Xenopus tropicalis: one gene and its partners. The protein of the gene in region 1 purifies or fractionates together with the protein of each later gene. This does not show direct contact. Links are inferred from orthologs where the notes say so. Each region holds a gene or a part of one and is shown on either strand. Other genes may lie near its edges.

What was found.
Region 2: the proteins of u2surp (region 1) and sf3a1 purify together in Homo sapiens (affinity purification with mass spectrometry; 4 studies listed by BioGRID and IntAct, with this or other methods). This does not show direct contact. The link is inferred for Xenopus tropicalis from reciprocal best matches to the Homo sapiens genes U2SURP and SF3A1.
Region 3: the proteins of u2surp (region 1) and cherp purify together in Homo sapiens (affinity purification with mass spectrometry; 4 studies listed by BioGRID and IntAct, with this or other methods). This does not show direct contact. The link is inferred for Xenopus tropicalis from reciprocal best matches to the Homo sapiens genes U2SURP and CHERP.

What each region holds. Positions count from the first base shown.
Region 1 is NC_030681.2:119,895,739-119,899,395, reverse strand, and holds part of u2surp (U2 snRNP-associated SURP motif-containing protein), read right to left. Parts: intron 2,156-3,657; coding exon 2,061-2,155; intron 903-2,060; coding exon 867-902; coding exon of another isoform or gene 864-866; intron 784-863; coding exon 701-783; intron 1-700.
Region 2 is NC_030677.2:144,334,774-144,338,530, forward strand, and holds the start of sf3a1 (splicing factor 3A subunit 1), read left to right. Parts: upstream 1-995; 5' UTR 996-1,088; intron 1,089-1,101; exon of another isoform or gene 1,102-1,210; 5' UTR 1,211-1,344; coding exon 1,345-1,434; intron 1,435-2,364; coding exon 2,365-2,480; intron 2,481-3,757. UniProt on the Homo sapiens protein: Component of the 17S U2 SnRNP complex of the spliceosome, a large ribonucleoprotein complex that removes introns from transcribed pre-mRNAs.
Region 3 is NC_030677.2:112,300,258-112,303,914, reverse strand, and holds part of cherp (calcium homeostasis endoplasmic reticulum protein), read right to left. Parts: intron 3,537-3,657; coding exon 3,053-3,536; intron 2,667-3,052; coding exon 2,428-2,666; intron 2,036-2,427; coding exon 1,902-2,035; intron 359-1,901; coding exon 272-358; intron 50-271; coding exon 1-49. UniProt on the Homo sapiens protein: Involved in calcium homeostasis, growth and proliferation.

The DNA of each region.
Region 1 (3,657 bases):
CTGTTGCAGCATTGAAGATTTATAGATATATATATATATATCATCACATTGTGTGTAACATCTTGATTAAGTTCCCAGACCAGGACCGAATCGTCAATTTGATGTATTTTTATAATGGACATTAATGGAGTGCGCAGTACTTTCGGTGAGAGATATCTAATACAACTATATGCAGCACCCAACCATGTGAGAGTTTTGATGTTTAAAGAGAGTGCAAACAATTTGAAATAGATATATATATTTGTCCCTGAGGAAGAGCACAGATTGTGCTCGAAACGTTGGAATTTTTTCAATAAAACCACTTTTTCTTTTGTATCAAGTCCCTGTGTGCGGCACTCTTTCTACTATATTTTTGTTTTTTGACCTGCACCAAGGGCATTTGGACTTGTATAGGGTGTGCTCCTCCCTGTATAATTATATATATATATATATATATATATATATATATATATATATATATATATATATATATATATATATATATATATATATATATATATATATTTGCTATTACCCTCAGATTGTAAGCTCTTTTGGGCAGGGCCCTCTTCCCCTCTTGTATCGGTTACTGATTGCTTTATATGTTACTCTGTATGTCCAATGTATGTAACCCACTTATTGTACAGCGCTGCGGAATATGTTGGCGCTTTATAAATAAATGTTAATGTAATGTAACCCTCTCTAACGACACATTTCTCACCTGAGGATTGATATTCCCAAGATATAAATTAGTGGTGCTTGGATCTCCAACATCATGTGACCCAGGTGCATAATCATCAAGGGCTGAAATAAAAAGAAATAAGAATTTGTTACAGGGTTAAAACAAATGATATCATCAATTTAATTTAAAGTAAACATGTTACCACCAGAAGATCTGCTTCTTCGTGAAGATGGTGTGTCCACTGTACAAGAAAAAAAATATAAGTTATTGCAACAGCAAAATCATAATTTTGTAGTAATTAGTTGAACCCAATACATTGTAAAGGTGAGAAGAAAATACATTTCTACTGTATAGAGCTTTTGCTAGTATAGAACATTTGCTAGTACTTATTCTAATAATTAGGGCTTATTCTCATGAGGGGGTCATCATGAATTTTGAAAATTACTCACACAGCAATTCCCACACATTTTCAAGATGAAAGGTGACAATAAATGTGCTTACAATTTAAAAAAAAAGGAGTTTTTCAGCCATTTCTTAAATATTTCAGGGAATAATACCCTGTGCATGCCACAGCTATTAAGCTATTGGCTCACAGTGTATTCTACATTGATATTTATTAGCCAGTGTAAATCATCAACACTGATTTCATGCAAACTGGTCAGTGGTCAGCCACGAATTTGCTGGTGGCAGGCTGTATCCACTGAACTAATGACAGGCTCCTCAGCCAAATGATCTTTACAGGTATGGAGGTGATCATATAAAAGTAATAGTGTATGGTGCACGTGAAGGGAACAGATCTCTCCAAATTATTACTTTATTACCTTTGACTAGAAGCACAATCGAAGTACAAATGGTTATCATTCAGAAACGCACCCGTTGTTCCAGATGACAATAAAAGTCACTTGCTTTTTATTTAAAAACACCATCATTGAGGCAACAATAAATGAGCTTGTGCTAACAGTCCCGCACCAGGAGAAGACTACCAGTCACAGGTCTGCCCTTAAACAAGGTTTAATGAACTGCAGTTCCCCGACAGGTCCATTTAGCTACTAGTTGTCCTTCTACTAGGCAGCAGTGACATATTTCTAAATTTAATGCCAAATATGTATCTTTGTAGAACTGGAACAGAAAAAAAAAACCCTCCAGGCCAGTGGCGTACCTAGATGTTACTGGACCCTATTGCGAATTCAATTTACGGCCCCCATAACGTTAGTAAATTGACCTTTTCTACCAAGATATTTTGAAATTTCTCATTTATTTAGGGCCCTTCTGGCTCCAGGCTTGAAATATTTACACTATAAAACATGAAAGTATATACATAACACATAATATTTGCTTAGGAGCCCCCTGCAGCAAAAGGGGGAAAGTGCAAGTGTACAGTGGAGAAGAATTTACTTACTTAATCTCCGTTGTGTATCTGTGTCAGTTTGAGGGGGTTCAAATCTGCTTGTTCTACCTTTAGTTTTGTGACGTTCATCCCTCTCCTCCTGGATTCTGTCATGAATTAACATTTGGTTACAATAAATGCTTCTACTACAATTAGTATCCCAACTGTAAATATTTTACCAATATTGTGGGTGCATGGCATACAAAATTATTCAAAACCAATATACAAGTTTCAGCTAAATCAAATAAAAATTAAAGAATGAAATTAACACAAACAAGATTCCTTTGGACCTGTAATTAGCACCAAATAAAAGCTGCTGTTCATCAAATGTTAAAACGTTAGGCTGATGCCACACGTGGCGTTTTTACGCTGCGTTTTTTTTTCAGCCGAAAAACGCCGCACAAGCCACACAGCCCCTGACTATGGCGTTTTTCAGCCTAGTACTGGTGACGTAGCAAATCCCTTTCCCATGGTGCTAATAGTGCAAAATAGTAAAAAACGCAGCGTATTTCAGCTAGGTCTGGCAGCTGCTTTTGTGTATACATAGGAATAGCTTGCTGTGCAAATGTACTGGCGTATTTCAGCCAACGCTTAAAAAATCCGTGCTAAGGCGTTTTCTAGCGTATGTACGCATTGTGTGGTTTGCCTCAAGTCTTTTCAAGTTATTTCTATGGATGATGATATCGGGCGTTTTTCAGCCGCTGAGATAATTAGAAAATACGCAGCATAAAAACGCCACGTGTGGCATCAGCCTTAACTAAACAGCAATTGTTTATGTTAGCAGAATATGCCAGTGCAAATATTAAGCTGTGTGATTGTGCATCTGCACATATTCATGATACACTAGTAAAGTAAAAAACACAAGGTTCCTGAAACACAACATTATACAGTTTTCTGCATTCAAGTATTGTTTGTGCCATTTGTCTAACTTTTTTGAAGAAAACTTTGGGGCAATGATTTAGTGTGAGCATGAAAACACAGTGGTATGCTATATTGGCAATGATTTTTCCTTATTGTGTCTATATGTTGGGTTCATAGGTGCTGGTTCATTATACATGCTCATTATATATGTTTTTAGAAATGTTATTTGCCAGTTTTGCTAAATATGTTTAAAGGGGTTGTTCAACTTTGAGTTAACTTTTAGTATGTTGTAGTGAGCTATTCTGAGCCAACTGCAATTGGTCTTCATTTTTTATTATTCGTGGTTTTTTTTTTTTTAATTATTCAGCTTTTTGTTCAACAGCTCTCCAGTTTAGAATGTTAGCAACAATCTAGTTGTTAGGGTCCAAATTAATTTAATTCCATATGAATAGGAGAGGACCAGAATAATAATATAAGTTATATAAAGTAACAACATTAAAACTGTAGCCTCACAGAGCAATATTTTTTGGCTGCTGGGGTCACTGACCCCAATTTGAAAGCTGCAAAGAGGGCAAATAATTAAAAAAAATAGTTAGAACTGACAATTCTATAACATACTAAAAATTAACTTAAGGGTAAGAACCGCTCCAAAGAGGCTTTCCACCAGCAACAATAGGAGTCGCCTGCGGAAAGCCCTTTGCATCGCTTCGGTACTCTGAAGCCATGCAAAGTTTTCGCAGGAGGTAAC
Region 2 (3,757 bases), on another chromosome or scaffold:
CGGTTAATTGCCCCTGCAGGGGGCAATTAACTGGCCCAAAAATCCCATAGACTTAACATTGAGGCCAACTTTGACGGATTGTAGCGCAGAGAGGGAATTTTTTAGAAACATGAAATTTACCACATTTGAAGAGGTTTGCAACCTGTGTCAGAAGATACCCCGCACAAGGGTATATGTTTTACCCCCGGGGCAAGAGAGGTCCTCAAATTTGCCCCATTGACTTATAATGGGGATTTTGGCAAATAATTAGTTTGTCGTAGACCCATGAATGAGGTGTCAAACCGTGCGGCTTATTCAGGAATGGGGTGCTATGACTTTTCTGAGGGGTGGGCGGTTAATTGCCCCAGCAAGGGGCAATTATCCGCCCATAGACTTAACATTGAGACCAAATTTGAATGAGTCCCGCACCGTTTGTTGTAGACCCATGAATGAGGTTTCAAACCATGCGGCTTATTCGGGAATGGGGTGCAATGACTTTTCTGAGGGGTGGGCGGATAATTGCCCCAGCAGGGGGCAATTAACCACGTTTGTCGTAGACCCATGAATGAGGTGTCAAACCATGCGGCTTATTCGGGAATGGGGTGCAATGGCTTTTCTAGGGGGTGGGCGGTAAATTGCCCCAGCAGGGGGCAATTAACCGAACTGAAGGAAACATTGTAATATTGGGGCACGAGTTTTGCCACGGCAAGCACCACTCACATTTTCTTCAGGAAATGTACCTCTCTAGTTGATTTCATTGCATTGCTGCTAATAAAACACCTACCTAATTTAGGGACTGCATACGTTAGCTGCGGCTCTTTCAATCGTTCGCATGCCTTAAACCCCCCCCTCCGTGTGGCATAAAAAAAAAACTTTTGCCCCTGTATAAACTTCGCGGTACCGAGGCTATGAGGATAACCGAATGCGCTGGCAACGTCCTTTCAGGTTTCTTCCATGCCATACATTTAGGTCTACGTCTCAACTATCTGACGCCGAAGCCAACTCCATGGCAACCACGCACTCAGAGCGTCTGAGTGGAAAATCAACGTGGTTCCGCAACGCAGTGTGCAAGTTACATCCTGGAATATACCATTCAACAAAAAAGGGGGGTAGGAAGTGACGCGCTTACACGCTATGGCATTAGACTAAAAAAAAGGAAATATGTACAGTTAGATTCTGTAGTTGTTTCTATTGACTTAAGATAAAGACTATGTATGCTACGTTTTTGCAGGCGGAACGCTGTAAATAATAACACTCAGCTGGGATTATCCACGAGACGCCTACCTTGATTCTGCGCAGCCGCCATTTTGCTCGTCTGCCGAAGTTACCGCTTCTGTCCTTGTTTGTGGGATTGGAGTGGGCACCATGCCGGCCGGACCAGTGCAGATAATGGCGCCGCAGACACCGGACGGAGGCCAGGTACGGGACTCTGCATCGCGGCAGAGGGAGATAGAGGTTCTCCGATTATTCAGGGATTTATGAAAAAGAGTAGGCCTTGGTCATGTGGAGTAATGATCTGTCTAGTCTATTTCTCTGAGTAAATAAAACAGGTTCATCGTAAGCAGTTAAAGCAGTGGGTCTAAAGCTGAAATAGTTAAATAGTTATAGAGCTAAGGTTCGCAGAGCGTTGCCTGGGGTGGGGTGTAGGGTAGACGTGCAGAACTATGCTCTATGGGGATCTTTAAGCAAAAACACTTGCATAATGATAGAAAATGAAAGAAGCAACTGTACAGTGTATTTAAAGAAATGTTAGACGTTATTTGTAAATATAATTGCAGCTACAAGTGGTATTTGTTTTGACTCTAAACATTGTATCAGAAGTTCTAATTTAGCTGACTTCTGTCGTATTGTTTCAAGAGTCAGAACCAGAAACGCAGAGAATGCGAGCAGCCACTCAGGTAGAGTTTTCAATAACATTTGTGTTTACAAGTAATAGTCAATATAAAGCAAGTCTGTAGGGCATTGGATGGGCCTTAAATTTCAAGTCTTCCCTGGAGTGAGATGCTGCAGCTTGTTGGTAAGGGCTGTTTCTGCACTGCATATTCCTTACCCCGAACTATAATGTAAGCCAGAGATCTGACAAATTTTAGATGATATTGTATTTTTCTGCTAATGAACATTCAAGCCTGTGACAGGTTATACTGCCCCTTTGAACATTTTCCAGTCTCTGAGGTGTCTTTGTCTGAGGCATCTGCTGTTATTTTATGTTTTTTAAACATATATTTGTAATACAGTGCAGTTAAATCTTAGACAGTGTGGCAATTATTTTTCATTATATGTGTGATGGGCCAAGATACATTTTTATTTATATTTTCTGCACATTAATTTGTCATTATGTTTATCACTTTGTTTATATTATTTTGTTTGTTTTTTTTTTTTTTGCAGCAGATGGAGGAGGAGAAGAAAGAAGAGGTAGTTCCATCCAAGCCTGTTGTTGGAATTATTTACCCTCCTCCAGAAGTCCGAAATATAGTGGACAAAACCGCAAGCTTCGTAGCAAGGTGCCTCCTAAAATATATTCTTGTTGTAGATAGTTTTCAAATAAATGTTTTTAAATTTGCAGTTATGTACTAATTTAAAGGACTAGCAAAACTGCACACAGGAGTGTATCAGTTTGTTAGGCATCCTCCAGTAAAAGAAATCGCTGTTCTTTTACCTTGGGCCTATGTGCCTCTTTTATTCTTAAAAACAAACAAGCCTGGTTCACAGTTTCATGGAAGTGGTGATAGTATTGCTAAACATAGTGTGGAAATTTTCTGGTGTTTAGCACAATCAAGACATGGGTTTAACACTGCATAAAAATTTTGGCAGTTTAACAGAAGTGTTGAGGTAGGTAGGCAGGGGATGAAGCCCTGAGCAGCAGGAGGAGTTAAGTTTAATATTTTAATGTCCATTCTCCAGCTGAAATATGTACATCCCAAATCATATAACCTTTATGAAACCAATTAAACCATTTCCCTGGTAGTTATAAGGCCACTATCAGACATTGCATGAAAAAATCTTATAGATAAGATGACACATCAAATTTTATATAATATCTTTAAAAAAGTATTTCCCTTTCCCATAAAAACACGAATTGGATACATAATATCTTTCAATTCTTGATTCTAAATGGAATACAAGGATACAAGAAGGGGCCCCTTACCTAATGCTGACAATTTGCTACCAATTAGGGATAAAATAAGTAATGGGTATCACCCAAGTATATTTTTGTGCTTGGGTGATAGCCCATTACTTATTTTAGCACTAATTGGTAGCACATTGTCAGCATTAGGGAGGAGCCCCTCCATGGTTCCTTGTATTCTATTTAGAATCAAGAATTGAAAGATATTATGGTGAAATGGAATAATGATGGCTTTTTAGAAAGTGTCATTAAGGCTAATGCTCTACATAGAGATTAGTTGCCCACGATAAATCTCTGCACCCGTGGAGAAAGGCATACGCATCACTCATCAATCATTTTCCGAAGTCGCGCAAACTTTCCTCCTGCAGGCATTTTGGGGAGATTAGTCGCCTGTGGTACCAGAGATTTATTGTGGGCAGCTAATCTCTTCTTGGGACATTAGCCTAAAGCCAGTTAAGAGACGGTGCTATTGACATTTATCATGTTCAGTATTTATCTACTGTTAATCAGATAATGAAATATGTGTAGGCCTTGAAGCCTGTTGACAAAGCTTTTGGATAGTCTTCTAATATCGATGGTAATAATGGATGGGTAAGTAGATTTGTGCAGAGTTGCTTTAAGTATTCAAGTTTCCTTAAGTCTCATCAATGGAAT
Region 3 (3,657 bases), on another chromosome or scaffold:
AGATGATTGTCCTCGACTCTTTGAGCGGCTCCGAGATCTTGAGGGCCTGCTAAGAAACAGAAAACTGAATATAAACTTTGCAGTATACCTCCTTGTTCAGCATTAGTTCCATTAAATTTGATTTGCCTTATGAAATGGTTTTTGTTATTTGTTAATTAAATTACCAGTCCACCCCACAGTGTATTACCTTTACAAAAAAAAAAATAGATTTTTTTATTTAAAAAAAAAAAAAAAAAAAGGTTATGCACTATATATATTAGATGTTACTTACCTGTTGCGCTTGTCTTGTCCTTTCCTACGCCGAGCTCTCATCTTGGCTCGGAAAAATTCATAAAGGCCATTTTGTTCCCAACCCTCACTAAACAAGGAAAGCAGATTACACATCATTGATAAATTCAGAATAAGTAGATACAATGCTTAAAAAAAAACCAGAGGATTTTTAAAAGGGATTCTCTCAAATTTTTTTTATATATAATATTGGTGTGTAGGCAGCCATCTTAGGTTACTGTGCCTGATTCTGGACTTTTAGAAAGAGCCAAAAGTACAAAATAGAACTGATAAGCTATTGTTTCTCCAACTGAATGTAACTGAAGGAGTCATAACAGGTGAGCAGGACTTGGATATTCACTACTAAATGCATTCTGACATCTAACACTAGGTGAGGCATGGGGCATTTTTAGAAATGCAGGTGTCAGGAAGCTTCTATCTTGTTACCTGCCCATTGTTCTGTTGGGGGTGGAAGGCAGGTGGGGGGTATCACTCCAACAAAGAGTACAGCAGTAAAGAGATACTAAAGTTTATTAGAGCACGTGGCTGAGAGCACCTAGAAAACTAAAAACATATCTAGCCCCATGTCAAAATTAATTAAATATATATATATACTTTTGAAAAACAGATTTTAATGTAGGACTCTGTTGAGGAGAGCTATTAACTGATGTGTTTTATAAAAACAGAACTAGCAGGCACCATCTTCTGAATCTTTGTGTTCTCTTACGATCAGTTCGGCAACACGGAGCACTAGCAGTTAAAGATACTCCGGGATTACCTTTAACTATGCATGGGCCAGCAAGCTCCGTGTCGCTCCTACTTTCTTCATAAACACATAGGGTGTCATAGGGTATGTCATTCTACCCACACTAGACATAAGCAGAGCATAGAATCCAAGCTGTATATTTTATAAATAAACTTACTATGTTTCAATGTTTAAAAAAAAAAAAAAAAAACAGAATCCCTTTAATGATGAACATTTTCATTGTTTTCCACTTAATTAATAAGTCTCTGCAACAAGAAAATTGCAGCTAAATAAGTAATATATATTATAGTGATTACATGATGTTTTTCATAATTTGTCTGGGACTCTTGTATTTTGAAATGGGGATGTGAACGCTTTACTTTTGGCACCCCAGTGCAACCTTAGTGTGTGGAACATTTGAATTTGTGCCTGAGCTTTGTCCAGTATTATACAGACACTGCTAAATTAGCTTTCTCTCTGCCAAAAACTTCTTACTTAAAAGATATACACTTTATGCATTCTAAAAGCAAGTAACACCTCTGTTCTTATCCTGGAAGGAATGGTTTTCCCAGATGATTTGAGGATAAAAGTCTAAATATCTGGACTTAGAGTAGTAGGGTTTTAGGGTAGTAGCATTCAACATCTTGCTGTGCTGTCTCCATTCCTGTGCTAATAATTTATGTAACTGAACCTGTATTAAATATCTATGCTTTACCCTGTTCATTGAACAAAGGAATACATTTTTTATAATATATTACGAGCCTGAAGATTATTATACCCCTAGACACACAAGTGAGTCAGCACTTATATTAGTTGTTGTATACTGGTAAATCTGTAAGCAGTAGCCTAACACTTCCTACATAAGGTATTGCTGGAACTGACTCTACACCTGTTACGAGGTCTGTCATGTGAAGGAGGACTGTAAAATGCCTCAACAGCAGCCAAGAGCCTCTCACTTGGGGGCATTGGAGGAGGAAGTCGAATATCCTTAGGGTCCAGGGGTTTGTATTCATGATCTTCCAACTGCAAAAGAGGTCATCAGAGATGCAGGGTGAAGATGCATACTTTGCAAAAGGATTTACATTCCACTTCCACGCTCTTTTCTGTGTAACAGGACATTAACTCAATGCATAACCTTCAATTGTAATGGCACACAGACTTCTAGCCTTTTGTTACTCCAAAACTCCATCCCACCCCCCCTTCAAAGCAAATGGGAATCACAATAATTCATGCTTGGTGATGACTGCGTATTACTCAATAATGGACAACCCTGCAATATTTAGCACATTGCAAAGCGACATACACAAGAAATCTACTTAGTCATAAACAGACTAGTGATTTAGCAAATACAATACCAGCCAATTTTCAGTTCTTCTACAAAGCTAATAAAGATTTTCCCAAGGAAAAAAACTCACTTTAACTAAAGGGGCCATCAGACCAGCCGGTAAGTCAAAGTATGGTACATTGGGGACCAGGCTGGGGTCATCATGGTTAATGTGTGGAGGACCCTGTCTGCGCATGTGAGGGGGCTGTCCATTGAACCCATGAGGTGGAGGGCCAAAGTCTGGGTGTTGTGGTCCCCCCCACGGAGGATGTTCATTCATGTTGGGGTGTGGCATTCTGTGACCTTGGTGATGATGAGGTGGGCCCATATCTAGAAGACAAAATAATACTACAGATAAGATCGCTTTAACAGGAACAGACATTTGCACATTCATATCTAATGTCTACCTAAAAGAGAAGCAGATGTAATAAAATATAAAGCTGGCAAGGTATTGTATTACAGCTGAGACTAGAACAGACTCCAAGAAGAAGCTACTACCATACTGACTGAGGTGAACCAACACTTAAATCAGTGAGGTGGAGAAGCTCATAAGTTTTCGTCTGCACACTATCTACATGCTAAATATATCATGTTTAAGGGCTTTAGATGGCCTTTTATCTACTTTAAAATCAATGCTAGGTCCTGTTTCTTACCAATTCCTATTTTACGGTGCATATGGATATTGCATAAATAATATGCTAACTATTGGAAATTACCTGCAGGGAAATCCCCCTGGGGAAAATCAAATCGATGTGGGAAAGGTGGCCTTTCAAAAGGGTGCCGTGGTGGAAATTCTTCCTGCATGAAGTGTGGGGGGAACCGATTAAAGTTATGGGGATGCGGAGGTTGGTTGAATTGAGGTGGGTGCTGTTGATGAGGTGGAAAGGGGCCTCGGAAGTGTGGTGGACGCTGCATGCGAAAGTGGGGATCCCTCTGCCCACCACCACCACCGCCGCCGCCGCCACCACCACCACCACCACCACCACCACCCCCCCCCCATGGAGGCTGCTCATGCTGGTTGCTCCAAGGAGCATCAAACTGATTATTCCATGGGGGCTCTCGCTGATTGTTCCAAGCTGGCTCAGGCTCGTTGTTCCAATTGGGGTCACGCTGCTCGTTCCACATGCCTTCGTGACTGTTGCTCCATGGTGGACAGTGAGGAGGTGCTGGGTGGTGAGGAAATGGTGGTTGTTCACAAGGCTAAAAATTGAAAACATTATTTAAATATTAAATTTGTATCTCTTCACAATGCCCTGCGAACGTTTGTAATTCTGTAAAACAGACACTCTTTATATAGCAATTACATTTACAAACAATTTTA